2 linked regions of the Pelodiscus sinensis genome follow. The protein of the gene in region 1 interacts with the protein of each later gene in a biochemical or structural test. Links are inferred from orthologs where the notes say so. Each region holds a gene or a part of one and is shown on either strand. Other genes may lie near its edges. The genes, in order: RXFP3 and RLN3.

Region 1 (15,528 bases):
AGCTGGGGTGCAGAATAGGCTGGGGTGCAGGAGGCAGGTGCTGGCTGGGAGAAGTTTACCTAAGTGTCTCCTGGCCAGCAGGCTGCAGCACCTCCATGGCAGGCTGGGCTCCCTGCCTGCTGCAGTCCCAGCCTGCTTGAAAATGCAGCCTCCTCCCTCCACATGGCTCTCAATTGGGCACGAAGAAGAGGCTTGCACTGCCCTAGTCTCTCAGGCCAATCTCTTAGCTCTGACTGGCTTGCTGTTTCCAGACAATAGAAGCTGAGTGATTGGCTGAGGTCATTTCTTATTGGCAGGTTGTTTCTGGCCAATAGGAGCTGAGGACTGGGCTGGGGGCCAGGAGATTGCACGAAGCTTCCCTCTGCCTGCAGAACAGAGAATGGCAGAGACAGTGTTTGAAACCATGGCAGCTGCTGCCTGAGGGTCCCAGCAGGGTGGTCCGCAGGCCAGATCCAGTGGCTTGGTGGGCCAAATCCAGCCCCCAGGTTGTATTTTGCCCAGCCCTGATATAGAGGGAATCCCATTGTTCTCCTGTGGAAAAATACAGATACGAAATAGAATTTTTCATATGAGCAAATCACCTTTCCATGCATGACTCAGTTCTTTACAGGTGGATGTGATTGCTCCCATGCTGATCTAAACTAGGGTTGCCAGATACTTTCACACAAAATACCGAACATGGCGGGAAAAAAATTCGTTGAGCAAAAAAACAACAACAAAAAAGAGCCACTGCGCCTTTAAATCCCACTCTCCCTGCCCCTGCCCATACATCCCACTGGCCTTCCATCCAAGAAAAACAGAAAATACCAGAAATTTTACATGTCCAGTATTTTCTGTTATTGTTACCGGACAGAGGCCACAAATACCGGACTGTCCGGGCGAAAACTGGACACCTGGCAACCCTAATCTAAACATTCACAGAAAAGCTCATTGGATGTGAATTGGCCCCACTCAAAGCCCATTGTCAGTCAAATACTTCTATTCACTTGACCAGAAGTCCTGTCACAATAGGCTAGCCAAGCTTCCTATTGGTGTCTCCCAGAAATGAACATTTGAAACATTAAGTTCAAAGCCAACACTCATCACTTCAAATACAAAAATGATACATGCATACAAATGCTATAAACAGAGCCACCTTTTGATAGACACTTCACTTGGCCCACTTTGTACAAGATTTCATGCAAACATATAACAGTGGTTGCAACAGTAAGCTGTTTGGGCACCGTTTAAACTGATAATGTCACACAGCTATATGTGAATAGAATGGCTAGGGCACAATTAAAGGTACGAGGATGAAATCTGGTGACAGTCTACAGATGTGTAAGCTGTAAAAACTGAGGAGGGAGAAGAATTCCTTGTGTTGGTGCTGCGTGATATAGCCAGAAGAAACAGGCTAAAAGCAAGCAAGGAAAATGAAGATTGAATGTCAGTTCAGACTTAAGTCTACAGAGCTGGGATTGTCTCCCAAAAGAAGTGATGGAAGCCCCATCTGTGGAGTCATTAAAATTACTCTACACAAAGAAACAGTGTTAGTTCTATTGTTCAACAGGGAAGAGCTACTACAAAGTAAACGTCAGAACTAGTATCCCAATATTCCCACTTCAATGCTGGCTGTGGCTCTGATTCTACTAAAGAGGTGAACAGAGGTAGTAGAAATCTCTCTCCCATCCCGAAGGCTATATAACAGGTTATCTAGATAACCAAATGTCATCTGTTCTTCTTTGAGGTCCATTTATAGAGAAATTTCAGATATGTTATTTTTAATCTTGTTTCCTTATTCTTCTCTGGGGACACTGCCATTTATCTGGCACAACCAACATCTGGCAAAATTAGGGGATGGACATTGGTAGATTCCTTTCTCCTTATCTTCTGTTTCAATATTGTTCATGAAGGACATTGGAAAGGACATTGACAGCTCACCTGTGATAACTTAAATACTCTCAGTGCTGAGTAAAGGACTTACAATTAATAACTGATGTGCAAAAAAGTTAGCCCCAAAGTCTGCGCATGAAGTATCTGTGAGCAAATTCAAATAAGTGGGAAAAAACAAAATATTCAGAGAGTTTTTGTGACTCCCTAAACGGCTAATCCTCCATCACTCTTCAAGCAATGTAGCTTAGTTGTAAATGGTTACAACTAAGTTAAGTTATAAAGTGTTATTTCTGTTCTCCATTCGGATTAATAGGAAAATCCAGCTGACAATATCATTCACATGTCCAAATTTAATCATGTTTCCAATTCATGATACCACCACATCAGTGGTTACTGTGACATTAGCTACCCATGAAAATTCATGCCATTAAAACCTGTTTACATGAGTATTCCTATAAATCAGAGACAAAAGGATCATAAGTATAGATTTAAACATTAAATATTCAAATCAAACTTTCTACCAAGCTTTATTGCCGGTGTATGTTGATAGCCTTCTCATCTTGGAGGGAGGTTTTCTACTGAAAACCTTGTGTTCATTTCCTTTCTATATCCCAAAAAGGGAGTTTTGGAGGTGAAATTCATCCTTGTCCCAAGACTTATTGCACAACGTCCCATTTAAACTTCTGCTTCTCAATAGGGGGTGTGGGAACAGTGAAACCTTAACATACAGATGAGCTGTAAAACTTTCAGCTGTTAACAATTATTGTGTTAGTACAAGATGGAGGGATCAAAGATACTCAGAGAAGCCAGAGAGAGATCAGATGAGTCCAAGAGAAAAGCCTTGGGAAAGAGGAGAGTCAAATGAATAAAAAAGGTCCCTTTCCTTTAAATAAATAAATACATAAATAAATAAATATTCAGAAAATTGTTGTTAAAGGAGTTATTCTTTGAGCACAGTTCTATAGAGAAAATAAAACCTTGAATTATGCAGATCCCATCTGAGCATCCTATGGTAATTACTCTTTTTAACTAAGTCCATTCAAGACCTTTAATTTTATTACTTTTTTCTTCAATAACAGGAGGAGGAAAACAATCCTTCACAGCTATAAAAATGTCACAATAAGCAGTCTCTTGGTGGTCTCGCCTGTTATTTTTTTGTATTTATAATGGCAAGTAATTAGAAGCAATTATAATAATAAATGCCTTGTCTTTGGAGAAGGTCCAAAAGGAGGTAGAAAACAGAAAGAATCCTTCAGGATAAATAGTATGAAAATTACTATTTTAAATAAACATAGTTAAAGCATATTTGAAAGCCAATTTTAAAGCATATACTGGACAAAAATAATCTCTGGTGTAATTCCATTGCTGTGAAAGGGCCAAATTCTCAAGCTGGTGTAAATCATGTAAGCACCATTGTCTTCAATGGTCAAATAAGATGATTGATATCCATTGAGTATTGGACTGAATAGAGATTATTTAATTACTATAGCTTTATAAAATATGGCCTCAAAAGTGCCATCCTTGGATGTAGGTTAAGGAGCTAAATAAGAAAAACTTCTTTACACAGCATGTCCTCAGCCTGTGGAATTCTCTATTCTAGAGGGTAAGAGGGTCACACACTCTGACTGGGTTTTTAAAAGTGATGGATAATTTTACAGTCAATCTCATTTGGCCAATGCTAAGGCAAGGAAATAAAACTTCATATTTATATTCACACCCCTCAATATATAACAACAATATATATGTTCAGCTACCCCTCTGAAATGTCAGAATAGTATCACAGATGCAGAGCCTCCAGTGAGCCTCAATTCCATCCCTTTCCAAAAGCCTTAGTACATAGATATACTTTGTAACATTCCCTGAACATCAGGGGACAAGGACTATTTCAGACCCTGCCTGGATTCTGAAAAATGTTACAGTCAGGAACATTTATGCAACTATTTATATGTATCAGATTGTTTGTATGTTTGGAGCCTTACTGATTTATGCCAAGTACACCGTGCGTATTCACATGTTACTACAAACTCCACTGATATTCTGATAAAAAAGAAGCACTACAAACAATGTACGTGTTCTGAAAGGTCCTGAATTACATTACTGCATGTAGAAAGTATGAAGAATAGTGTTTTTTGGAAATATAGGAATAATAATCAGGAAATCATTTATTTTATGAATTTTGGGGTTTTTTCACAAAATGTGATTACTTTTTTCACTAAATTTTCCCCGGATACAGAAATGGGTTGATTAATGTATTTACAAATCATTCATTCACCGAATATCACATTACTTTCAAATAAATCATTCATTTTTTAAAATTATTCTTCGAGCTATAGCTTGCTCCTTTTGCTATCCCTTAAAATTCTTTTCCAAGATCAAAAAGAAATGAAGAAGAAAACAGAAGATAAACATAAAGGCTGTGCAAGCAGTTATGCCAGCCATTCTCGTGCTGCCAAGAGATGCTTTAGCTCATATTCAGTTAGAGCAACTCCCACATGCTTTATTTGATCGGCTTGCATTATGAATACATACGTCTTCCTTCTTAATCATTCCCTTCCTTCCATCCCCAGTATTTTGTGTCCCTTTCTTGTTTTGGAACTTCATTACAATTTAGTCTCTATAGTGTACCAACCAAATATGATTGGCAAGAAAATATACAAGTAGAATAAAACTCATTTCACACAAAAGACAGGTTCTGTCTTTTTCCCATTTAAGTTACAAGAAAATTGGGCTTATAGATCTGTGTGCTCAGAAAAGGGCTTTAAATCTTCAGAGATCATGATGAGAAATCAAATTTTGCATTCTGTGTCCTATTAGTTCCTGGCATTTGGATTGGCTGTGAAAGAAGTTAAATGGCCAAATGAAAGTATAAGGAATAGTATTTTTTGGAAATATAGGAATAATAATCAGGAAATTATTTATTTTATGAATTTTGGTTTTTTTTCCAGTAAATGTGATTACTTTTTTCACAGAATTTTCCCCGGGTACAGAAATGGGTTGATTAATGTATTTACAAATAATTCATTCACCGAATATCACATTACTTTCAAATAAATCATTTATTTTTTAAGATTATTCTTCAAACTACTGTATAGCAGTTGAACTATTTGACTTTCAAGTCAAATAAAGATGATTCCTTGACTGCTAATTACAAATGGATGAGGAGAAGAATTTAAAAAAAAACAGAGAAATTGAGCAACCTTCAAGAAAATCAAGAAACTTGTTTGTTGTACTCTTAATTTTGAGTAAGATCTAAAACAATGCTCTGGATATAGGATTAAAGACTCTGCACTGCTGAAAAGGAGACCTTGACATTTCACAAGATCAGACTTGTTGTGCCATGTTCAGATGTAGGCATTTCTACCTTCTCTATATAACATTCTTCTGTAGGTTCCATTATAGGAGGTAGCCTTCTTTGGTTCCTGTCCTATGATACTATGAAACATCATTAAACACCTATTGGATTAAACACCTGGAAGTGGTTTAATTTGGTACCTAGTCAGCGAAGTACTTTGGAATTCTTCTATCTAAAAGGTGCAAATTAAGTTTTTAATAATGAGCAGTATTACCTGGTCATAGCCCCATCCCAATAACTACAGGAAAGGGTGAAGATATGTAAAAGATATAAAAGAAGGCACTTCTTTACACAGCATGCCCTCTGCCTGTGGAATTCTCTGTTCTAGGGAGTCAGAGAGTCACACACTATAACTGGATTTTAAAAGATGATGGTGAATTTTGTGGTTAATCACATTTGGCCAACTGTCCCCGATCCTTTTTTTTTTTTCGATGAATTTTCCCCGGTGGGTTTTTGTTGTTTTGTTTTTGCTTGGCCGGGGCCACCAATTGGTTAGGACCGGCTCTGGTTCTGACACCTCTGCATCACCACAGGAGGCTTTGGGTAGGCTCCTGCAGGAGGACCCTGTGAAGTTGGGATTGGCAAGAATCAACACCCAGCAAGACCTGAGTGGCAGCCCACACAGCCTTATACAGGTACTTAAACCAGGAAGTCATGAAGAGGAGCTATGTGAGTAACACCACTCCTGTCTCCTGATACCTGATTCTCTGCCTGCCTTCTCACCTGTCTTGGACTCTGACCTCCTGGTATCTGAATTAGCCCAACTCGTTCTCTAACCAATTGATCTGACTGTCTATGTCTCTGTCATGCTGACAAGGCTAGATGAACACTGGACACTTCATGTACATAATCTGTTAGTGAAAATCCTATGCTCCTAAATGAGGGCTAACATATACCAGTGCATTTTAATACAGAGTATTTCCATTACAGGAGTACTGAGAGATGCCAATGTGGATTGGAACCACATTGTATTAGGCACTGTACATAGATGAAAATACAGTTTCTCACCCTCAAAAATTTGTAAGTTAATGCCACTATTCTTCAGTTCAGAATGTACAGGCAGAGTGCTATATCTACAGAGAGCCCCAACAAATCTATGTGGGTTCTGCAGTCTGCATGCATGCTCTCACATGCAGGGTCAGGGCCTAAGAAGACAGACAATACACCAAATTTGACAGGAAACACAATATATACTATTTCTATACACATATGCCCTCTTGCAAAGTTTTTAAATATTATAAAAGTTCTGCCAATTATCCTTATATTCTTCTTGAACCTTTATTAACTGCTGATTTATTTTACAGATACCAACACCTAAGTGGGTTTTAAGTAAACTTCAGTTAGAGAAAGGCATTCCATGGCTAAGAGGGAGCGTGTAATAAGGTACAGAAATATCTGTGTGGAAATGTAAATCAAATAAAATCAGTTTACAGACCACGGGGATAATACTTGACTTGTGTAAGTTGCTCTTGTGCTCTTCAGAGGTTATATTTAGAATGAATTGTGGTCAGAAAAATTACTGAATATTTTGAGACTTGGTTCCTAAAGCCCCTTCTTCACACAGACACATATTTTCAATGTATCTGTTGCCTAATTTGCTGACAAAGACATATTTCACTACCTCAAGAACAATAAACAATGTACCTGCAGCAGAACATGCTGTATTTTGTACTGCCTCATGTGCAATATCAGTGCACAAACAAAACGGCCAGCTTGGTTATTTTCCAGAATCTGCATTGTTCCTAATGACATATGTAACCAAAAGAAAAGAGCTGGGTTTTGGACAGGGGAAGGGGTCAGTGCCAGCAAGGAGGGGAGGAGATTTGCTTTGATTTGTTTGTTGTGTGTGTGTGTGTGTGGGGGGGGGAGATGACATAAAAAGGTAAGGCTGCTCCAACAACCCAGTTGCCACTTAAACTTTTCTCCACCCTCCCAGGGGCTACAGCAATGAAACATGGATACTAAGGTTTTATTTGTTAGTGGCTGCTGATTTTCTCGAAACCCTTATTTTATAAAGCACTATTTTCCCCTGAAACCTCAGAGCCCCCTAGTGGCCAATGTTAAAATATTCATAAGGATTTTCTATCAAAGGGTCTCCGCTGTTTGAAGTCAACGGCAAAGCTCAGAGGCACCTCAGTGGGAGAATAATAGGACTCAAATCCAGGGCCACCCACCTAACCTGTACTATTTCTCATAGTAATCCTCTATCGCATTCTTGCGGCCTTATCCAGCGTCTGATGCTCATCTTTGCTGTTTTCATGTAACCCATTCCAAATTAAGAGATAAGGATCATCGGTACCTTCAGCCTTTATTTTAAGAAGTCAAAGATTGTCAGTCATTTAATATTCATCTGTGGTCATTTAACATATTTACCTTTCGTTATAGAAAAATAATTCCGAGACATTTTCAAGTTGCTCACAAAAAAAGGGGGGGGGGGGGAAGAAAGATCAAATAATTTTGGATTCGTTCTGTAGCTAAGCAAAATGTAGTACCGCATGCCTCCAAGGAATCCATGCGTTACAGGAACATTGGATAATGCCAGGTTGGGTTTGTTTATAATCCAAAACATTTGCAACGCTTTTCGTTAAACTGAATTGTCTTGAAGCCGATAGCCACCAAACGGAACCCTGGAGAATGTAAGGATGGAAATGACTACGGTGGGTGTAAAATATCATGTGAACAAAATAACACTGGAAATAAATATCACACCCCATTTATAAGCAGAATTAGTTACACAACAGAACAAATAACAGAGATGAAAGTCCGCTTGCGGCACGGACAAGCCTCATGGTAAACAAGCTCTGTGCTTGTTGAAACTCAACGCAAAACTTGCCACCGGACTACAGGTTTTTAAAAGTTTGGATGCACACAGAAGGGGCAGCTTGGGAGTTTCATTAGACCCCAGATACACTCCACGCTTCATTTAAAGTCTGTAGAGAAGGGAAGCGGGGTTGGGTTCCACGTTGGACTTTGGGATACACAGAGAAGACCAGGGCGGTTTAAAGGGTGGGGGGACCCAGGTGACGGGCGGTTGGACGTGGGGAAGGGCTGCATTTCCTATGCTCGCTTTCTCCGGCGCTGTTCCAACGCAGCTCGCTCCACCAGCGCGGGGGAAGCCAAGTCCCGGCTGCCGGCAGGTGAGTTCCGAGGAGGCTGGGCGGGGGAGAGCCGCCTGCTGCAGGGGCGGCTGCGCTGCTCCCGCCGGGGGTGCCGGGCCGCTGCCGCGAGGCGGGCAGTGCCCAGCCGGACTGCCCCGCGAAGAACCTCGGAGAGCTCCGGGCGCTGCGCACGCCCCCCCGCCCGCTCCGCGGGGGCCGAAGGGGGATATAACGCGGCGAGCTGCGGGCAGGGGAGACGCGCCGGCAGCAGCAGCGGAGCGCGGGGGGCACCCGCCTTGCACCGCGCCACGCCCCAGCCCGGCTGGCTCCCACGCCGGGCCCCCGGAGCCGTCGCGGCGGTCCGAGCCGGTGGCTGCCGCGGGGCGCCAGGCTGAGCATGTGCTTGGCAGGCGAGGGGGGCCCGGGCCAGCCCGCGCAGCGCGGCTCCTGAGCGCAGCCCGGCCTGGGAGCGAGAGACCCGCCCCCGCCAGCCTCCCCCTGCCATGGGATGGACGCCCCCTGCGAGCCCGCCGCCTGCTCGCCGGCCTCCCTGCTGCTGGGCGGGCAGTTCGGCAACGGGACCAACGAGTCCCTGCCGGAGCCCTCCCGGGGCATCGCCCTAGAGCGAGCCGAGGGGCTGCAGGGGGACGTCTCGGCCGCCCTGCGCATCGTCATCTCCAGCGTCTACTCGGTGGTGTGCGCCGTGGGGCTGGTGGGCAACCTGCTGGTGCTCTACCTCATGAAGAGCAAGCAGGGCTGGAAGAAATCCTCCATTAACCTCTTCGTGACCAGCCTGGCGCTGACCGACTTCCAGTTCGTGCTGACGCTGCCCTTCTGGGCGGTGGAGAACGCCCTGGACTTCACCTGGCTCTTCGGCAAGGCCATGTGCAAGATCGTCTGCTATGTGACCACCATGAACATGTACGCCAGCGTCTTCTTCCTCACCGCCATGAGCGTGGTCCGCTACCACTTGGTGGCCTCCGCCCTGAGCAGCCAACGGCGCGGCCCAGGGTGCTGCTCGGCCAAATGGCTGTGCCTCCTCATCTGGGGGGCTGCCATGCTGGCCGCCCTGCCTCACGCTTTCTTCTCCACCACTGCCACTGTCTTCAACGAGGAGCTCTGCCTTGTCAAGTTCCCCGAGGGCCGTGGCAACAGCGCCCAGTTCTGGCTAGGCCTCTACCAGGCCCAGAAGGTGCTGCTAGGTTTTGTGGTGCCGTTGGCGGTCATCAGCCTCTGTTACCTGCTGCTGCTGCGCTTCCTGGGTGAGCGCCACGCGGGCCGGGCCTGTGGCGGGCCCAAGCGGCGGGCCAAGGTGACTCGCTCGGTGACAGTGGTGGTGCTCTCCTTCTTCCTCTGCTGGCTGCCCAACCAGGCGATCACCGCCTGGAGTGTCCTCATCAAGTTCAACGTGGTGCACTTCAGCCCACAGTACTTCTTCTCGCAGGCCTACCTCTTCCCCATCAGTGTGTGCCTGGCACACTGCAACACCTGCCTAAATCCTCTGCTCTACTGCCTGCTCCGCCGCGAGTTCCGCGCCGCCCTACGCCGCCTGCTCTGGCGCCTGGCCTCGCCCTCGCTCACCGCCACACGGCCCTTCACTGCCACCACCAAGCCCGAGCCCGAGGAGCCAGCACTACGCACCCTGGTGCCCGCCGTCACCCCTCCCCAGCCTGACCTCCTCTACTACCCACCCGGCGTGGTGGTGTGCAGCAGCCGCTGGGACATGCTGCCCAGCAGCTCTGCCGAACAGCGCTGTTGAGCTGATGGGGGTTTTTGGGGGCAACGGAGGGGGTGTCTGTGAGGGATGTGCTCTTAGGATCCTCCTAGCCCAGGGACAGTGGGTGTCCATGTGAGACAGACTCAGGAGTGTCCCAGCAGTGAATGGTGGTGTGCCTGTGGAGGATGGTTTCAGGAGAGGAGTTGGGGGATGGGCTCCAGGGAATGTCCTATGATGGAGGGTGTCTCTAGGGGGAGTAACTCTGGGGATTATCCCAGCAGTGGGGAGTGGACTCCTGGGACTGTCCTGGCCTTGAGAGTGATGGAGGTCAAGGGTGTTTGTAAGGGTTTGCCTCTGGGGACCACCCCAGAAGTGGGTGGAGTGGGGGAGGGGCGTCTGTGGAGGTTGGACTCCTGGGTCTGCCCCAGGCTGGCTGTGGAGTAGTGGAAGGGGTATCTGTGGGGCAGTGTTCTTTCCTCTAGGGAAAGGGGATGGCAATGGGGGAGACTGAGGCTCCATATGGCCAGGCTACTGTATGTGGAGAGGCTGAGGGGACTACATGGGGAGCAAGGATTCCTTGGAAGTGGAAGATGCTTGCAGACTTTGTATGAGGAGGTGGCAAGAGGTATGTGAGAAGCAAGTCAGGACTTTCCACTTCCCACTAGAGCCCAGATTGGGAGGGCCTGGCTTTGTTCTCCCCCAGCACTGAGCTGGGGAACCAAGCACGACTCACTGTAAATACAACTGCATGCTTGGCTCTAGCACAGCTCCTTTGAGAACGCTGTTCATGGAGCATTCACTGCAGCACTTCACCCTCTGTTAGCCTGTTTCAAAGTGAAATGATTCACACCGATAAACAAAAACTAGAGTAACTGATATTTGGGATCTGAGTGCTGCTGAGAAGGGGAAGGGGCTTTTTTCCCCCTAGTTCATTATTTGTAATTATAAACTTTGCAGTAGTTGTGAAATGTTATGTCCTACCATCAGCTATTGTTGTCAATCATTTGTGGTCAGAGGGTACTGTATCTGTAACGGATCATTGTCTAGAAGGAATCAAGCCACTGCATTGCCAGTTTTAAGGACAGGCTATTCAAAGCCCTATGCCAAAAGGCACCAGGGGGACCATCTAGTCTGATATCCCATAGAACACCAACCACAGAACTTCCACAAAATCATTCCCTAAAGCACATCTTTTAGAGCAACATCCAGTCCTGATGTAAAGATTGTTACTGATGAAGAATCAGCCATGAGTCCTAGTGAGTGGCTAATTAACCTCAGTGTTAAAAATTTACACCATATTTCCAGTCTGTATTTGCCTAGCTTAAAAATTTCCAGTCCTTGGACTGTGTTATAACTGAGCTGGATTAAACAATGAGGAGTCCTGTGACACCTTAGGGTACATCTACACTGCTTGGCTATTTCAAAATAAGCTATTCCGGAATAGTTTTTTTGAAATAGCTTATTTCAAAATAACACATCTACACTGTAGGGATGCCTCAAAATTAGTGGTTCTCAACCTTTCCAAACTACTGTTCACTTTTCAGGAGTCAGATCTGTCTCATGTATTCAGGTTTCACCTCACTTAAAAACCACTTGCTTAGACAAGCAGATATAAAAGTGTCACAGTACACTAATAGTGAACAATTGCTGACTTTTTATCATAGAATTATAAAATTCATCAATTGGAATATAAATATTGTACTTACATTTCAGTGTACAGCAATATAGAGCAGTATAAACAAATCATGGTTTTAGATTTTAGTTACTTCACAAGTGCTTTTTATGTTACCTATTATAAAACGAGGCAAATATCTAGATGAATTGATGTATCCCCTAGAAAACCTCGGCATACCTCAAAGTATGAGGCATATTTTCTCACCCTTTAATCAATCTATGTGCTTCTCTGAATCCTCTCCTATTTACCAGACCCCTCACAGCATTCTAGCAGTAGTTACACCAGTGCCAAATACAGTGGCAACATAGCCTGTCTGCAACTACTTGAGATTCTGCTGTTTATTCATCACAGGATTGCATTAGCTCTTTTGTCCACAGCACCGCACTGGGAGATAATGGTCACCTGATCATCCACCCTGGCCCCAAAATTTTCTGAGTCACTGCTGACCAGGATAGATTCCACCATCCTGTAAGTATGGCTTGCATCCTAGATGTATATACATTTACACTTCCCCATATTCAACCATGTTGCTTACACCATGTTAACGAAACAATCCTGACCACTCTGTAGCAGTGACCTGTCCTCTTCATTAGTGACCCCCTTGCCATATTTTGTGTCCTCTACAAATTTTATCAGTGATGATTTTGTTTTCTTCCTTGTAGTTTATATAAATGGTTGGACCTCCCTGGTCCAGCATCCACGGAACCTGACTGGCCCTGGATGAGAGATTTTGATAGACCAGGGGAGGTCATTTCTGGTCCCACTGTTGCTGGCCCCATCTGGCTTGCCAGCTCCTGTCCCTTACCCACAGTTCAGCTGAGCAGCGCGCTGAGCTTTCCAGCTCCTGGCCCTCCCCTGGCCCAGCCCAGCTGAGCCATGCACCAGCCTTCCCTGCTTCCATCCAGCTCCCTCCCCAGGCAGCTTCCCAACTTCCCTCCTCCTGGGCAATCCAGCTGAGTCACGCAATGGGCTCGTGCTCTCCCCCCCCCCCCCCACCCTTGCATGTGGTCATGCTGGACCACGGATGTTGCCAGACTAGAGTCCCAGTTTATAGAGGTGCAACCTGTAGTATAGAGCTAAGAAAAGATATTCAGTTAGCTAGACAAGCTCTATTTTCCATAAACCCCTGTTGATTTGCATTAATTACTTTATCCTCCTTTCATTTGTTATTAATCAAGTCTGCTACCAGCTGCCCCTTATCTTAACCAGGATCAATATCAGGCTGACCAGCCTATAATTACATGGGTTAACCCATTTACCATTTTTTAAAATTGGCACATTACCTTTCCTGTAGTCTTCTAGAATTTCCCTAGGGCTCCAAGAGTTACTGAAAAATCAACATTAGTGATACAGCAAGCTCATCAGACAGAGCTTTTAAAACTTTTGGGTGCAAGTTTTCTGGACCTGCTGACTTAAAACATTTACTTCTAATAGTATGGAATTGAGTGTTATCATAAAATGAGACATTTGTTTTCTCCCAAATGCAGACAAATATGAATATAGAGGTCCTTGGCAGAATTTCCATGTGTCTGTTTTTGTTCATATCTGCTATTGTGGATGTTAGATCTCCAAAGATCATTGGGCTTTATTCATATAAAACATGCCACAAGAGGTCATTACATGCCTCTTGTCACAGTTCATACATTCTAACCCATGATGAAATGGATGAGGGTGTCAAGGATGAGACCAACCCCAGTATTTCAGCTTATGGAGTTTCCTATTCATCTGGGGAGACAGACTTGTCCCTTTGTTGTGTGGAAGGATCCATTCCATTAGCAGGACTGTGAAGCTACACTGATTTCAGGAGATCTACAGAAGACACAGTGCAAATGTTGTTGCCTCTGTTATGTACATGGTCCCACAGCAGCTTCTGTAGGATCTCTTTTCCCAGGTGCTTCTCCTACACAGCAGCCCTTGAAACTCGGAGGAAAAAGAGTTCCACAGGGCTAAGAGAATGGGGAGGGAGGAGGTGTGAGACTGAAGCACAAGGTTAGGCCATATTAATTTGCATTTCTTTCTGCTGTGGGCTTGGAGAAGAGAATCTGGAGGAGCCCCCTTCTGCTGCTGGTCTGACTTCTACAATTACATGAAGCTGGAAGTCTAGGGAATCCCACAGAGGGAAAAGAGAGGAAAGGGGAAGAATGGATTAGAGGGTAGAATTTCCATCTTACTATAGATTCTTCTGGACTAGAAGTTTTGCTCCTGTTGTAGCTCAAGCTACTAGCCAATAATTTGAGTTCATTAACACAATTGTAAATTTGATACCCCAGACACTGCACTGCTGTTCACTCCAGAAATCAAATGTTTGGGATTCCCCTCTGGGCTCAGCCTACAGTGGATCAGAAAAAGTTGTGAACTGGAAAAATGGAGAACATGCATTGGCATTTAAAGTTGCATGGTTAACTGGAGATCAATTAACCCCACTTACAACAAGAGCAAAACCTCTAGTATAGACAAATTTCATCTGTGAAATTCACTCCTGTCAAATGAAGTGGGTGGAAAAGGGGAGGGAAGTGGGGTATTCCATAAAATGGCATTCTGGTGTCTGTGTGTGGGGGGGGGAGGGGGGAATATTCCCCATTATGGCCATAGAAGATGAGGCCTTCAATTTTTGGCCAGGAAAACCTTGCATTGATTTCAATTGGAATTTTACTCAGTCCTAGGGAGGTACGAACAGAGTCCTTCTGGATTTGGCCCATGCTGTACATGCTAGTGAAGCCCAGGGTAGAATTAAGACTTGCTCCTGTGCTCAGACTGCAACTGGTCCAGTCATTGAAACCAAAGAGCCATTTATCTGCCTCAAGACAATTGAGACCTATCTGGTGGTATCTTTATAACCCTGAACACTGACTGAGTAGGGTATTAGAGACATACAGCAGTGTTCACAAAGCAACAATAAGCTAAAAGCAACTCCGTGCTCTGAGTGTCCCTACCCTCTGTTTGCCAGAAGCTGGGAGTGGAGGAAAGGGGATGGATCACTTGATGATTACCTGTTCTGGAAGTCAAATCCTACTGAGGAAAACAGGAGCATAAACTCTTGTCAAATTAACTGTAAAAATATAATTTTAAAAAGCCCAAAAGGAGTTTGAAGCTAGCCAAAAACTCAAAGTAATAGCAAAATGTTCTTTAAGTATATCAGATGTAGGAAGCCTGCTGAACAACCAGTGGGGGCGTTGGACGATCAAGGTGCTAAAGAATTACTCAAAGATAATAAGGTCATTGCAGAGAAACTATATGAATTCTTTGCTTCAGTCTTCACAAATGAGGATGTTAGGGAGAATCCCAAACCTGAACCATTCTTTTTAGGTGACCAATCTGAGGAATTGTCCCAGATTGAGGTGTCATTAGATGTTTCAGAACAAACTGATAATCTTAACAAAGACCAGATGGCATTAACCCAAGAGTTCTGAAAGAACTCAAATGTGAAATTGCAGAACTGTTAACTGTGGTTTGTAACTTATCCTTTAAATAGGCTTCTGTACCTAATTACGGGAACATAGCTAATATGACACCAATATTTAAAAAGGGCTAGAGGTGATCCTGGCAATAATAGACTGGTAAATCTAGTGTCAGTACTGGGCAAATTGGTTGACACTATATTGAAGAATAAAATTGTTGGACACCTAAATTAGCATAATTTGTTGTGGAAAAGTCAACATGGTTCCTGTAGAGGGAAACCATGACTTACAAATCTACTAGAGTTCTTTGAGGTGGTCAACAAATATATGGACATGGGGGATCCAGTGGATATAGTGTACTTAGATCTCCAGAAAGCCTTTAACAAGGTCCCTCACCAAAGGCTCGTAAGTAAAGT
Region 2 (15,506 bases), on another chromosome or scaffold:
AGGGTCACAGCTCCTCCACTGACCCTTTATAGCGACAGATTTGTTTCACCCAAGATCAAAGTAATGGTCTATTCCATCTTGTCTCTTTTTCTTGTTTGACACAGCAGCATGGTAATCAAAGCAGCACTTTGTTTTCCCAGTTAGATTCCCCTCTACATGCATCCTATAAAGTACTGGAATGTCTTCACAAAACATGTGATTTGCTTAAAAGGGACCAGTCAACGCTGGCTGGGGCCAGTTTGATACAAAAGGGCATGGATGACAGGAATGGATTCAAACTCTCTCGGCTTTTGGAATGACAAATCTACAGCAAAGATCTCTGATTAGACGGTGTAATCCTGTAAGGTGCTGAGCACTGCCTATGGCTTCAAAAGACGTTGCGGGCACTCAACACCTCACAAGATTAGTTCCTGTATCTCACCTTTTGCAGCTTAAGATCCTCCTCTTCCTTCTCACTCAATCTAAACTGAACAATATCTATACAGCTCCTAGTAGCTATTGCCTCCAAGCCTCATCTCATCTCCCTCCTCCCTGTTTACTTGTCCCCTTGCAATTTATTTGAGAAATGCCCAGAAAGAAGCCAATGGGCAAGTCACACAAAGGACTCACAGACACACCAAGATAAACGCAGCATCATAATAAAGTTATGAAGCAGTCACATGAACCACAGGAAAACATATAAAAGGTGCAAATCCACCCCCTACTGAATATGTAAAGCCAGGGAGTGGGTAATTTAGCACCACAGAGCAGGTAAGTTTCCTGTTGAATGGTCCCTAGCCGTAATTTTCGTGAACTGCTCCACTTTTGTTGACAGGATTCAATTTACTGAGAACATTTCTGGGTCTGGAAATTGTTTCCGGGCCCTGGGAAATGTGATCATGATGTCTCTCCTCGGTGATATTTTGATGCTATGTTGTCATCTCCCAGTGCCACAGTATGACAGCACAATAACGCTTTAACACAGTCACAATGACATTTTACACAAGCATGAGCAACGGCAGCTTTGATGGCATTTTGACACAAGAGTGACCTGTCACCCACGGCATGATAGCGCTTTGGGACGTCAGCCTGCTGCCTCGTGGAGTGGACGTTCCAAAGGGGCACTGTCATTGCCTGTCCCCTTTTGACTCCACACGATGGCTATCGAGGTAAGATATCATCGTCGCCTCTCGTGGCACAATGCTGCTCTGTGGCAAGTCCCCCTTTGGCCAGGAGGGGTTTGATAACTTACAGCGATATTATGGACACAACGAGGAGCCCTGTAGCACCTTAAAGACCAAGAGATTGACTTTATGCCCAAACAAATGTGTTAGTCTGAAAGGCTCCACAGGACTCCTGGCTGTTTTTGCAGACTCAGACTAGCACGGGGACCCCTCCGGGATGTGACGCTGCATCGTCTGCCCCTGCGACACTGGTGCTCTGCCGCCATCGCCCGTGCGGGCGCACCGCCCTCTCTGCACGGGGCACAGCGGTTCAGATGCCACGGGCCGGCCTCGTGACCCCCGTGGCATCGGCGCCCCGTGATTCGATCGGCACTACCCCCCCCCCCCCCCGGCTGGCCAGGCAAGGCCTCGTGACGACACCAGGGACCCACCATGGCCAGCCGGGGGGGGGGGCGGGAGTTCACCAGGAGCGGCCGTGCAAGGTCACCACGAGACAGTGGTGAGGAAACCATCCCACCTCACATTATGACATCATCGGCCTGACACGTCACACAGGCCGTGACATCACAGGGAAGCCCCGCCCCCTTCCCCAGATCGGCGGGCACGGGGGTCCCCATCGTAGCCCCCCCCACGCGGCGCCCCGCCCTCTCCGCGACCCCATTGGCTGCCCCCTGCGCCCCGCTTCTTCTGATTGGCCCGCCCGCCCACCAATCACCGGGGAGCACGGCAAGCCCCGCCCACCGGGCCTGGGCCCTTCTTAATCCCGGGGCAGCGGCCGGCCCTCAGTCGAGCGAGGGCGGCGCCTCCGGCGCGGGCGGCCCCGAGGCTCCCCCCGGCCGCGTGCCCCCCCCCCGGGGCGCGCCCCCCCCCCCCAGCAGCCATTTTGTGAGGGGGGGGTTCGAGTCGGACCCACCTTCTCGGTCCCTCCCCGCGGCCCGGTCCCGCCGCCCCGCGGAGGCCGCTTCGCTTCAGGCTCCGACGCGCCGGGCTCGGGCGGAGCCGCCGCTCATCGGCCGCGGCGGGGCCGGGATTTTGGCGGGGCTCGCGTAGCCGGCGGGGGGGAGGGGGTCCGCTCGCGGCGGTTGTTGTTGTTGTTGCCGGGTTTCCTGGTCGCCACGACTACGGTGGCTATGGCGCCCTCCGTGTTCCCTCACCGGGGCAACTGTTGCTACCCACCTCGGCTGCGGGCGGGGCCGAAGGGGGGGAGAAGGGAGGCCCCTGCGGTGATTGGTCGGAGCTGGCCGTTCCATTGGGTGGCCTAGCTGTCGCTCTGCACCGCGCTCGCTCTGGTTGGCTGGAGGCCGTGCCCTTCAGATCACGTTCCGCCTCCCACGCTGGATGGGATTGGCCTGTTGGGCAGGACGCGTACTGATTGGCTCCTCTCCACGTTTGACTCCACGCTGATTAGGCAGTTCCGCCGTCTGTCTGGGGAAAGGGCGGGGGGGGTGAGGAGGCGGGTTGGGATTGGCCAGTCAGGGAGTTGGCGGCTTGCGATTGGTTACAGCCCTCGTCAATCAGCTGTCTGGTAAGCAACGTCTGGGGATCGTAGAACCGCGCCCCAGGGTGGGACAAGTGCGCGTGCGCGCTCTGCGCCCGTGGCGTGATGGGAAATGTAGTCCTTGGCTACCAGAGGCCAAGCGTTACCTTGCCTGCTTCTGCTACGGCTTGGAGGGGCCGCTGTCCCTCTCCTGCCTTGATCCCGTGACGTCACTGCTCGTGGTATGATGTCACACCGCGCTTCCTGCGGGTATTGCAAAACTCCACAGTGATGTAATGGCAGCCGTGGTGATGTCACTCACTGGTGTGCCCCTAAACTAGTGCAGAGCCCGAAAGCTGTGCCTGCGGCATGCCCGGCCGGGGCGATGGGGCCCCTCGAGGCAGGCTGCTGCTCTGATCCCGTGTGCCTGGGATGCTCGTCACGGCTCCCGCCTGCATGAAGAGGCAGGACGGTGCAGGGGTGAGGCTGCTACCTGAGAACTTGGGCGTTGCTGCCTCCGTTTCCTGCTCTGCTGCAGCCTCCCTGTGTGACCACTGGCAACGGGCCAGGACTCGCTTCCCAATCTGTGCCAGGGCGTTACTCACACTGCCCTCCCTCGCAGGGGCTTGGCGAGATCAATGCATTAAGAGATTGCAAGGCATTCAGTCGCTGTCATAAAGAGGGTCCCATAGGAGACTCTCCGACTATTAAGCTCTGCTGCAAGGCAGATGCTATTAGCTGGCCCTCTGGTCTGTCCTAGCATAGTCAGGAGTCAAACTGGACAATGGGAAGAAAGACTGCTGTTATGGTAGCCCCAGGAGCTGCAGCCGTAGGCCAGGAACTTATCATGCTGGGCCCTATACAAAGAGAGACCAGAAAGATGCTTCCTGCCCCAGAATGTGTATTCTCTCTCTCAAGTCAAAGGAACACATGAGATAGTATCAGGTTCCAGTATCTCCCTTTTTTTGTGAGCACTGCAATTATTGTCAATATTGACCCTTTAAGAGCCATCATTAGGTTTCAGAGGGAACAATCCACTGAGATACACGCACTTCTCCAAGCCGCTGGGCCGGACTCTTGCTTCCCTGCTCCATGTGCCACCATTAAGCCTTGTTCAGAGTGAGGGCTATGCTCCTGCACTGACCTGGCAACGTCTTACGCTGACTTGGCCTGCAGAAAAGAATAAATACACAAATGGTCGACAGTGGACAATAAGATTCTCTGCAGTCATTACCGTATCCTTTCCTTCCTAAGGCTCTATGCAGCTGCCCCTTGCCTTAGTGTCTGGTCATCTGCAGCTGGGTCCCATTCCAAAGGCTTCTCTCTGCAATCATTTATGTTTTAAACCACACCAGTGCTGAAATCTTGAGGCTGGCAATAGGGGCCTCCAGAAAACAGAGTGATCCTGCCACTTTCCCACTGAGCATGGCAGGTCCTTTCTGCCTGTGTGCTTTAGCCTGGCCCGTAGGGACCCCGGTCACTCTGTCAACGTTCGTTTCTGAGCCCTTTCCATCCTGTCCCTGTCGGCTGAAATGGACAATGAAGGAATTCATCTCTGGACCTAACCACCTCAGCCACCAAATCAGAGGCTCATTTAACTGCACATCCAGTAATGTGGTCTATGCCAGCCATGCCCCACTGCGATATATATTGGGCAAACTGGACAGTCCCTACGGCAAAGAATTAATGGACACAAATCAGATATCTGAAAAGGGAACTCCCAAAAACCAGTTGGGGAACACTTTAACCTCCTTGGACACTCAAGGGATCTCCAAAAGTTGCTGTTTTGTTACAGACCAATTCCACAAGCCAAATACACAGAGAAGGACTGGAACTCCACTTCATTCACACGTTTAATTCTTGTGCAGATGGTTTAAATCACCATATTGGATGGCTGGGACATTATCAACCAAGCACACAATGAAGGTGCCAATGGTTCTTGACCTCTGTGTAGAATCTGTTGTTACTCCTCCTCTCCAAGTGCAAACTAATGGTTCTTATCAGCCTCTTTGAACTATCTAGTCTTTGAGGTGCTAATAGACTACTAGGTCATTACCTACCTATCAAACAATGAGAGTGACAATGGTTCTTTGTCTTTGAAGAATATCATTGTTTCATCAGTCTTTAAGTGTTTCCTGACTCTGTTTGCTAATTAATGGTTCTTATCTTCCCCTTTGACTATCTAGTCTTTAGGTGCTTATAGACTTGGCTTTCCCTTGATATATTTTTTGCCCACTGCCTTTTCTTGTCTCCGCTCCTCCCCCAATTTTCCATTCTCCTCCTCCTTCCCCCCCTATTTATTTTGTTCCTAGACATCCAACGCTCCAGTCATCTGAAGAAGTGGGCTGTGTCCATGAAAGCTCATGATAACATCTCCATGTTTTATTAGTCTACAAAGTACTACCAGACTATTTGTTGTTTTTTTCAGTTTACCTGTACAGACTAACTTGGCTGCCCCTTGAAGCTGTTTTTCCTGTTACAGACTGGCTCTGCTTTCCCTTTGAAACTTTTCTACCCACTGCCTCTTTTGCCTCTCCTCCCCCGCCCCCGCCCCTTCTTCCTCCATTTATTCTTGGTTCTGGACATCCAACACTCCCGTCATCTGAAGAAATGGGCAGTACCTGCAAAAGCTCATGATACCATCTAGGGCTGTGTCTAGACTGGCCAGTTTTTCTGGAAAATCAGCCGCTTTTCCGGAAAAACTTGCCAGCTGTCTACACTGGCCACTTGAATTTCCGCAAAAGCACTGACTTCCTACTGTAAGAAATCAGTGCTTCCTGCAGAAATGCTGTGCTGCTCCCGTTCAGGCAAAAGTCCCTTTTGCGCAAAAGGGCCAGTGTAGACAGCTCAGATTTGTTTTCCGCAAAAAAGCCCCGATGGCGAAAATGGCGATTGAGGCTTTTTTGCACAAAAGCGCGTCTAGATTGGCCACGGAGGCTTTTCTGCAAAAAGTGCTTTTGCGGAAAAGCGTCCTGCCAATCTAGACGCTCTGTTCCGAAAATGCTTTTAATGGAAAACTTTTCCGTTAAAAGCATTTCTGGAAAATCATGCCAGTCTAGACGCAGCCTAAGTGTTTTGTTAGTCTATAAAGTGCTACTAGACTGTTGAAGTTTTTCCTGTTACAGACTAACTCAGCTCCCCCTCTGAAGCTGTTTCCGAGGCTTTGTCTACACTTAAAAGTTTAGAGCACAGCTGAAAATGTGGCCAAAGCACAAGCACAGAGAGAGTCTCCCAGCGCTGCATGTGAACCACCTCCAGGAAGGGAGCAGCTAACACTGTGGGGACTGTGGTTCTCCATGCTGTAGCCTGGCTCGCCCTGGTGCTTTACAGCCCTGTAACTTGCTGGTTTTCTGTGCCCCAAGCCAGAAATTTATAGCGCTAGAAAGCACCAGTGTAGACTTAGCCTATGAATCCTGAATTGATACTTTAAGGCCTGACTCATGCATGCAGCATGGCTAGTATTCAAGGGAGGAGCGGGTTCAGGGCATGCCAGTAGCAGGTGTGACACATCCTGCCATCGCAGGTTCAAATCCCCGCTCTGGCTCTTGCCTTCAGTCTGAAAACTGAGCTGCTCGGTGAGCCCCGCTCTCGGCGAGGGGGTGTAAATCCAAAGAGGCTGCTGTGGAGTGGCCGTAGCTCTGCTGGGGCAAGGGCTGACTTGGTCTGCAGCTTGTGTGCAACATGCCTCTAGACGTCGAGTCTCAGGCGGTCGGTGGAGGGCAGAGGCTCAAGGGTGTTTTCCGTGGGGTGGGCGGGGTAGAGTTCCTCCCAGGGGTAAAAGTAACTGAAACTTCTAAGAGGTGCCGTTGTCACATTGTGGGGCAGAGCGTTGGGGGTTGTGTGCAGGGGGAGGAGAGGCTGGGCCAGTCCCCCGTCAGTTTCCCACTCCCACCCTGCTCCTGGCCCAATGGGGGCTATGGCTGTGGGAGGACAGTGCCTGCAGGCAGGGGTGGGGGTGTAAAAGGCAAGGGAAGGCAATGACTTCCTAAGCTGCCAGCCTGTCTCCCCCCCACCCCCGAAGTCTCCTGGGGCTTCAGGCCTGCCATGGAAGCTGGGACCAGGCACCACTTATGCTCTGGGGCTGGAGAAGACGCCCACCGTCCCTGTGCTGCAGGGAAGGCTGGAGCTGCACTCCACGCACCATCCCCATGCTCCCGGGGCCAGGGAGAGCTGGGGCTGCGTACGGCCTGCACTCCCTGTGCTGGAGGTAGAGCAGGGGCACGGCTAGGGCTGTGCGCCTCCCTCTGAAGGGGGGCGGCTTGGCTCCCACGGGGGCCCTGGGCAACAGAGGTGGGACCTCAGGTGGCAGGGACGGTGCTGGGGCTTGCCTCGCCCAGCCGTCAGTCCAGGACAGGCTGGGAACCCCACCCACGCTGCTGGCAGGCGCTTGCCTGGGGCCCATGTGCATCTCCACCTGCATCGCCCTCCCACTGCCATCTTCTTACCGGTATAGTGCACTGGGGTGCACCAGCCCACCCCCCACTCCCTCTGTGCATGGATCATCCGTTCACACACCCCTGTCGTTACCCCCCAGGGTATGTGGGCTGATTCCTCCCCGCTCCAGCCCCCGTGCCAAAAGCTTCCCATGCGCCCAGCCTGCTGCAGAGCGAACGGCACACGAGCCTGGGGAAAGCGGAACTTTGAGGCTGGCTCCTTGGTCTCCAGAGAATAAGCCACGTGCAGGGAGCTGCGGCTCGTGGCCCAGGTGGAGGGGGGAGGGTGCGGGCTGCTCGGGAGTTTGAAATGGTGACAGGTGTCACCTGGCAGGGCAGGGCCGGTGCCGCGCTGCAGGCAGGGTTATCTCTGCGCCGCAGGCTGGCCCCTGGCATTTGCCGCACGGCCCCAGGCCTCGCGCGCCCACGGGAGAAAGGACGTAATTGAAAGGAGATAAGCAAAGGTCGCTGCCGCTCCTGCTGTCTGGGGCGCTGGGGGACGCGCTGAAGGAATGAGATTGCTGGGGAGAATGGAGAGAGTGGGGTGATTCGCCTGTGGCTGCCTGTGTTCCTGCCCCACTGCCTATAGCGCCCCCTGCTGGGAGAGGCTGGGACTGCAGGACCTGGGATCTGCCCCCCCCAGCCAATACTCCTGCCCCACTGCCTATAGCGCCCCCTGCTGTGTTCCTGCCCTGTCCCTATAGCGCCCCCTGCTGGGAGATGCTGGGACTCCAGGACCTGGGATCTGCCCCCCCCCCCCGCCAATACTCCTGCCCTGTCCCTATAGCACCCCCTGCTGGGAGAGGCTGGGACTGCAGGACCTGGGATCTGCCCCCCCAGCCAATACTCCTGCCCTGTCCCTATAGCACCCCCTGCTGGGAGAGGCTGGGACTGCAGGACCTGGGATCTGCCCCCCCCCCCAGCCAGCGCTGCTGTCCTGTCTCTATAGCGCCCCCTGCTGGGAGAGGCTGGGACTGCAGGACCTGGGATCTGCCCCCCCCCAGCCAGCGCTGCTGCCCTGTCCCTATAGCGCCCCCTGCTGGGAGAGGCTGGGACTGCAGGACCTGGGATCTGCCCCCCCGCAGCCAGCGCTGCTGTCCTGTCTCTATAGCGCCCCCTGCTGGGAGAGGCTGGGACTGCAGGACCTGGGATCTGCCCCCCCCCAGCCAGCGCTGCTGTCCTGTCTCTATAGCGCCCCCTGCTGGGAGAGGCTGGGACTGCAGGACCTGGGATCTGCCCCCCCCCAGCCAGCGCTGCTGCCCTGTCCCTATAGCGCCCCCTGCTGGGAGAGGCTGGGACTGCAGGACCTGGGATCTGCCCCCCCGCAGCCAGCGCTGCTGTCCTGTCTCTATAGCGCCCCCTGCTGGGAGAGGCTGGGACTGCAGTAGCCATGAGCCACTCCCCCACCGCTGGGAGCCTGCACTGCTCCCTAGAGCGCCCCCTGCAGGGAGAGGCTGGGACTGCAGCAGTTGTGAGCACCTCACAAGCCGCTTTCTTCCAGCGCTCCCTATAGGGAATGGTCCGTCTGCCATGCACATGCCTAGGGGAACCAGCAAGTCCCCATAATGACCCCAGGGATGGAGAGGGACAAAGCAGCCAGGACTCCTGGCTCCATCCCAGCTGCCTGAGACACCTCAGGAGAGTTCCTGACCTGCTCTGTGCCTTAGTTTCCCCCATAGTAGAGTGGGGTTAATGATCCTCTCCGGAGGTGGGCGGGGGGGAGAATCCAGCCCAAAGGAGCGGGGCTCTCGGAAGCGTCCGACTTTCCGGGCAGTGCGGCCTGGGCAGCTCCGACCCCGGCCGCCCTCACTGCAGGAGTGGGGGAACAGCAGAGGGGTGCGAACGGCAGATCCCTGCAGGGAGGGAGTGTGCGAGCGGGAGAGACAGCGCAGGGAGGGCCAGCGGGGGCTGCCTGTCACTCACCGCCCCCCCATGTCCCTCCACCGCCCGGCGCGGCGATAGCCAGCAAAAAGGTTATCAGCGTCTCGCTCCCTGGCACCCGGGGCTGCTGCCCCCTGCCCTGCCCCCGCATCCCCGGAAAGGTCTCGCCGTGCCACTCGAGCGACTCAGCCGCCTAATCGGGGGAGAGCATGCCAGAGCCGGCGGCCAAAGGCCACCCCACGTGCGGCCTCTCCGCAGGGCTCCTCGGCGGGGGAGGGGGTGGGATGGTATAAAGGGGGGCGCGGCAGGGCTCCGGAGGCAGCTGGGAGCTCCTCTGGCCTGGGCGCCCGTCTCGCCACACCAAGCAGCCATGCCGAAGCTCCTCCTGGCCCTGGCGTTCGGGACGCTGCTCTGGGAACTGAGGCTGGGGGCCGAGGGCCGGAACCCACCCTATGGCGTCAAGCTGTGCGGCCGGGAGTTCATCCGGGCCGTCATCTTCACCTGTGGGGGCTCCCGCTGGAGACGGACAGGTGAGAAGGATGGGGGGGTCCCTGCCTGGATTCCCACTGGGAGGGGAGCAGGGTCTTCTGGTTGGCACGGGGCGGGGAGCTGGACCTCAGGACTCCTGGGTTCTAGTCTTAGCTCTGCCACTGGCTTGCAGCTTGCCAGCTCACTCCCCTGCCCCGTGCCTTAGTTTCCCCCTCTGGAAAACAGGGCTCCATGTCCCTCCTTTACTCCCCAGCAAGTGGGGAAGGGAATGAGACATGAGGAAACATTGGGGGCAGCATGTTTTGTTTAGGCACCATCCAGAAGTGACTGTCTGCTCCCCCAGCGCTGCAGGGGTGGGTTGTGGGTCACTGTTCAGTTAGTAGGGGCAGCACAGGGAGCCTGGGTCGCCCAGGAGGGCAGGTCTCGTGTCCCACCTTAACACCCGCCCCCCCCCCAGCAGCTCCCAGATCAGAGTTGCTCCAGCGAGAAGTCAGCAGCTAACAGCAATTTTTTCCCCCTGGGGAATTTTCTGCCCCTTTCCCCCTCGTCGCCCACCGGCCAGGGAGATCTGCAATGGGGAGCACACAGGGCCAGGAATGGGGGTTGCCATGCCTCATGGGCTCAGTCAGCTGGAGGAAGAGGAGCTGATCCCTATTGCCTGCTCCGTGAGAGGAGCCAGGCTGAGGCCAGCAAGGGATATGGGGGTTAGGGTTGGATTTGCTACTTGGAACTTCTCTGCTGTTCCCGCGGCAGGTGCTGCCCTGCCAGAAGGGGGCGCTCTAACCCCTCTTGGCCTTTGCAGCCGACTGGAGGTGTTGGGGGGTGTTGTGAGCCCCGGTGCCACCCAGCCCTGCTACCTTCCCCGGCAGCAAAGGTGGCAGGACTGGGATGTAGCTGGCCAGGACTGTCCCCTCCAGTGAGCCGCGGGACTTGAAGGGTTGGCTGGTGGTTAAGGCACTAGCCTGAGCCTTGGCTGCTATTTCCAGCTCAGCCACTGGCCCTGCTAGGGGGACCCAGGACCAGCCTGAAATAGTTTCAAAGGGGGCAAAAAAAAACCCCAAAATGTAAGAATCCCTCACGTATCAGAACGAGAAGGCAGAGACTGAAATAGTGTCAGTGGTGTGTGGCCTCCCCTGCTGGCTGGACTCCGCACGGCTCACCTGTGAGTCATAGGCCCCATACTGCTACCAGTAAGAGGGAGATTTTCCCTTCAACTCAAGCAGAGAGGTCAATGCTCCCGGAGTAGGGGGAACTCGCCTTGCCGTCTACAGGAAGTTGTAACCTTCCTGGGTGCGGTCCCTGGTCTTCCTCACTTGCTCTTTGCACATTAACCCCTTCCCTCCCACTGCAGGTGACCTCGAGATCCTGAGCGGCCCCCCTGGCGGGGAAGACTCCACAGAAGCTGCCTCCAGCGAGTGGGACGTCAGCCGCCTGCCCGGGATGCTGCCCCTCTCCTCCGACTACCACGAGAGGTGGCGAGGCAAACCGGGCCGCAGCCTCTCCGAGGACAGCTGGCCTTTGGAGCGCGCCGCCCGGGACGTCACGACGGGGCTGAGCACCTCCTGCTGCAAGTGGGGGTGCAGCAAGAGCGAGATCAGCTCCCTGTGCTAGAGGCGGGCAGGGGGCAGCGCATGGCGCCGCAGGTTGGCACTCGACCTGCAGCGGGCGTCGGGGCCATGCCGGTTGGCACCCACGGAGGGTCCAGCCCTGGGATGGTGGCTGAAAGTAGAAACCCACAGTTCCCTGCCCTGCAGCTGCTCAGCAACCTGGGAGCCCTGCCCGAGTGAGGACTGCAGGGATCGGGCTGTGGAAATGTCTGTCATGCTGGCGGTGCCCCCCACCCCGGGGAGGGGCAGAGGTGAACTCCAGGGTCCTGGGGCATGCTGGGATTGGAGGCTGAGTTTCGATTTATGAGGAACCAGATGACAAACCCCACACCACACACACACACGCGCGCGCGCGTCCAGTTGGGTCACCCCCACTTTGCCTCCTCTTGCGGTTGTAGCCGGGGTTCAATAAAAGATCAAAAGAAACTAAGAGCGTGAGCTGGACTTGGATTGAGGGTTCTGGGCTGCAAGTTCCTGCAGGTTGGGAAATCCGAGCTACTTTGCAGGGGCCGGCCCTTCCCCAGAGCGCCCCCTGCTGGGGCTGGCCTTGCCAGAGGCTTTCCCCCAGAGCGCCCCCTGCTGGGGCTGGCCTAGCCAAGGGCTTTCCCCCAGAGCGCCCCCTGCTGGGGCTGGCCTTGCCAGGGGCTCTCCCCCAGAGCGCCCCCTGCTGGGGCTGGCCTAGCCAAGGGCTTTCCCCCAGAGCGCCCCCTGCTGGGGCTGGCCTTGCCAGAGGCTTTCCCCCAGAGTGCCGCCTGCTGGGGCTGGCCTAGCCAAGGGCTCTCCTTCCCAGAGCGCCCCCTGCTGGGGCTGGCCTTGCCAGGGGCTCTCCCCCAGAGCGCCCCCTGCTGGGGCTGGCCTTGCCAGGGGCTCTCCCCCAGAGCGCCCCCTGCTGGGGCTGGCCTTGCCCGGTGCTCTCCCCCAGCTGCCCACACTTGCTTTCCTGCCCTCTTGGGAGAGGGCTCTGAGCTCCCCCTCTGCTGTTCTGCCCTGCTCCCTGCAGCGCCTCCTGCTGGGACTGGAGCACCCGAGCGCTCCCTGAACAGCCAGTGCCCCTGCTCCATTCCTGTGGTGCCCGCTGCAGGGAGGGGCTGGGAGTGGGGCAGCCAGTGCCCTGGCTGTTCCTGGCATGGGGAGCCCTGGGGGACACTTCCTCGCATCCCTGCAGGGGGATTTTTTGTGGCAAATTCCAGGAATGAGTTTCCTCTTACCTGAAACCTGCCTGCTGCCTTCTGGCCCGCCCTGGCAATCGATGCACCCAGCGCGGGTTGGGTAACCCTGGCAAGCCCCACGCTGGCCGGGCTCTCAGAGGGTGTTTAGTTAAGCAGGGCTGATAACACAAAGCCATGTTCCGGGGATGCCCTCCACGCTGCCCCTCGCCCAGCGGTGCCCTGCTCTGTGTACCTAGGCACGATGCACCCCACATATCCCCCCACAAGCCGGGGGCCCCGCGGCTCTTGGCTGGGCTCAGAGAAAAGACAGGACTTTTCAAAGGAAGGCGCAGTCAGACCCCAGGGTCCGGGCAGGGTCTCAGAGCTTGGATTCTCCGGCTGGCGGCCTAGCGCAGCGTTTCTCCACCTTTTCTTATAAAGTGCCCCCTTTCAAAAAATTAGAAGTACCCCCAGTACCTACAGTTCTCAGACACACACATTTTTTTTCTCCCATTGCAACACGTTTGTTTAAACAACTTCATTGGAGCCGGGCAGGAGATGAAATGTTTGGGCGTAAAAAGCACAAAAAGAAGGAAGTGCTGTAAAAGTTAATACAAACATTCGGTTTTCTCCACATTTCTGCTGTGTTGACGTATTCCCCCCTCCACCCAGGACGTCTCTCGAGTACCCCTCAGGGTACTGGTACCATGGTTGAGAAACACTGGTCTTTCTAGAGCATGGGTTCCCAAACTGGGGGCCGTGAAGAAATTCCAGGGGGGGCGCGAGGCAACCCAGCCCCCCCAAGTTGTGCTCAACAAGTTTGGCTGCTATTGGGGGGGGGGGGCGGGAGGGTTTCTCAAAAATCAAAAAGGGGGGCGTGATGCCGAAAAGTTTGGGAACTAACTTTTCCCAAACTTGAAAATCAACTTGATTCTAGAGAATCAAACTTAAAATCAGCGAGGCTGATGGAGTCAGTTAGAGAACCCAGGCATCTGGGCACCCAACCTCCTGCGCTAACCACTCAGCCCCACTCTGCTCCTGCTGCCTGGATAGAGCATGAGAGTCCTGGGGGTCCAAATCCCTACTCTAGTAACGACACCCGCTTCCTATCGGAGCTGGGAATAAAAGCCCCAAGCCCTGGCTGCCACCAGCCTCCTGCTCTAACCATTGACCCCACTCCCCTTCAGGAGATGCCCCGGGAACATTGTGTGGCCCTGAAGTGGTTTGGTACGGCACGAGTCCCGGACTCAACGGGTCGCTGTGGGGAGAGAGTATGGGCTAATGGTTAGAGCAGGGAGCCAGGCGCCTGGGTTCTGGCTCCCGCAATGGGAAAGGAGTGTTCTCTAGTGGTTAGAGCAGGCGCGTGGTTCGAGCAGGACTCGCGGGGGGAGGGGAGAGAGGGGTAGTGGGCAGAGCAGGGCGGAGTCACTAGTCCAGGGGCGAACCACAGCAAGTGAAACGCCCCGCCGGCTCCGGGCCGCTGCAAACTTCGCAGACTCTGCCCGGGGGCTTGTTCCGGTGCGTCCGCTCCGCGTGTGCTCGGCCCCCGCGCTTCCTGCTCAGGCGCAGGCTCCTTCCTGACCCCGCCAGCCGGCCGCCTCGGCTCGGCTCCGGCAGCTTCGCTTCCCCTCCCCCTCCCCCTCGGCTCCGGTCCTCCGCCTGACTTTCCGGTGTCGTGTGAACGCGGCCCCGGACTCCCAGCGCAGGTAGGTGCGCGGGTGTCCCAGCCCCGGGCGCAGGGAGGGACCAAGCCGGAGGGAGGATGGAGGGGGAGGGTTAAGGGGGGGCATCTGCTCCCGCATCCAGATGTGTTGGGGGGGCTTTGCAGGGGGGGGGAGTTCTCTCCGGATGCTCCTTCGTTTGGCTCGTCCTGCGAGGGAGGCGGCCGCGGGAGAGGGGGGCAACAGCCGCCGGGAGGAGAGTGGGGAGTAGTGGTTAGAGGCGCCCGAGCGGGAAGCCCACGTTACGGGGGTGATGTGGCACGAGAAAGGGAGCGGTTGGAAGTCAGGTCTCCCGGGGTCCATTCCCAGCTCTGGGAGGGGGAGTCAGGACTAGTGGTTAGAGCTGAGGGGGGCCGGGAGTCAGGTCTCCCGGGGTCCATTCCCAGCTCTGGGAGGGGGAGTCAGGACTAGTGGTTAGAGCTGAGGGGGGCCGGAAGTCAGGTCTCCCGGGGTCCATTCCCAGCTCTGGGAGGGGGAGTCAGGACTAATGGTTAGAGGCGCAACAGCCTGAGAGTCAGAATTTCTGCAGTTTGCCCCTGTCTCAAGGAAGGGAGTGGGGTCTAGCATGGAGGGCTGGGGGCCAGGACTCCTGGGTTCTTGCCTCAGCTCTGGGAGGGTAGAGGGGCCTAGTGGTTAGAGCAGCGGGGGGCCGGGAATCAGACAATGGCGATTGGAGCCAAGGTGGGTCCAAACTGCCAGCTGGGACATATGGGTAAGGAGAGCATCCCAGGGAGCCGTCCTGGCCAATGGGCCGTTAGTCCAAGACATTTGCAGTCCTCCAGCTGGAGTCGATTAGGGGTCAGGAAGGAACTTTTCCCATGGGCCAGTGATCCCCTCCCAGTGCCGCTGGGGTGGGCTCATGCGAGCGGGCTCCAGTCTAGGGGTGTAACAGTGGAGTCAATTAACCCACAAGCAAAAGCCTATAGGTTAATGCTATGGACAGCATGCGTTCTGCCCACCCCCACCAGCAAATTTGTTAGCAGGCTGGCCAGCAGCCCGGCTCAGTGCTGGCTTGCGACGGGTCCGGGACCTACCCCTGCTGCAACTCTGCATTTCAAGTGTATTAGGGGGCAGGCAGCCCGGCTCATGCCAGCTCCAGGAGCTCAGACACGCCCCCTGGACAGGGGCTGCTGCCACCCTGCACTGCTGCCTCGCATGCCTCTGTATCAGAGGCAGCAGCATAGGGCAACAGCAGCTGGTCCGCGAGGGGAGTTAGTTTTTCAACACAGACCAGCTCCCGCCTGGCACCCCGAGGCAGAGGCGGCAGTGCGGAGAGGCGGGGGGCTCCTCGGCAGTGGGGCCGGAGCGCACTGGCTGCCGGCCCCACCCCCGGGGACTATCGAATAGTCGAGTAACCGCTAGGAATTCGTGCGGTTACTCGACTGTTCCATTAACCGCTAGTTAAGCTCCCTGCTCCGGTCCAGCTGTTTGGCTGCGCTGTCTGCGTGAAAGCGAGCAGAGGCTGTGGAAAGGCATGAGTCAGAGGCCGCCTCTGTTCTGTCACCGCGTCGTTTGTTTCCCATCAGTCTCCCCCCATCTTGGGGTTGGGTTTTTTTTGTTGCTTTTTTCTCTTTTTTATGGAGTGTT

The links.
Region 2: the proteins of RXFP3 (region 1) and RLN3 form a complex in vitro, tested with the Homo sapiens proteins (2 studies listed by BioGRID, with this or other methods). The link is inferred for Pelodiscus sinensis from reciprocal best matches to the Homo sapiens genes RXFP3 and RLN3.

Annotation. Positions count from the first base shown.
Region 1 is NC_134716.1:107,508,771-107,524,298, reverse strand, and holds RXFP3 (relaxin-3 receptor 1), read left to right. Parts: upstream 1-8,097; 5' UTR 8,098-8,830; coding exon 8,831-10,081; 3' UTR 10,082-13,810; downstream 13,811-15,528. UniProt on the Homo sapiens protein: Receptor for RNL3/relaxin-3. Binding of the ligand inhibit cAMP accumulation.
Region 2 is NW_027465944.1:300,124-315,629, forward strand, and holds RLN3 (relaxin-3), read left to right. Parts: upstream 1-8,320; 5' UTR 8,321-9,324; coding exon 9,325-9,484; intron 9,485-10,794; coding exon 10,795-11,054; 3' UTR 11,055-11,471; downstream 11,472-15,506. UniProt on the Homo sapiens protein: May play a role in neuropeptide signaling processes. Ligand for LGR7, RXFP3 and RXFP4.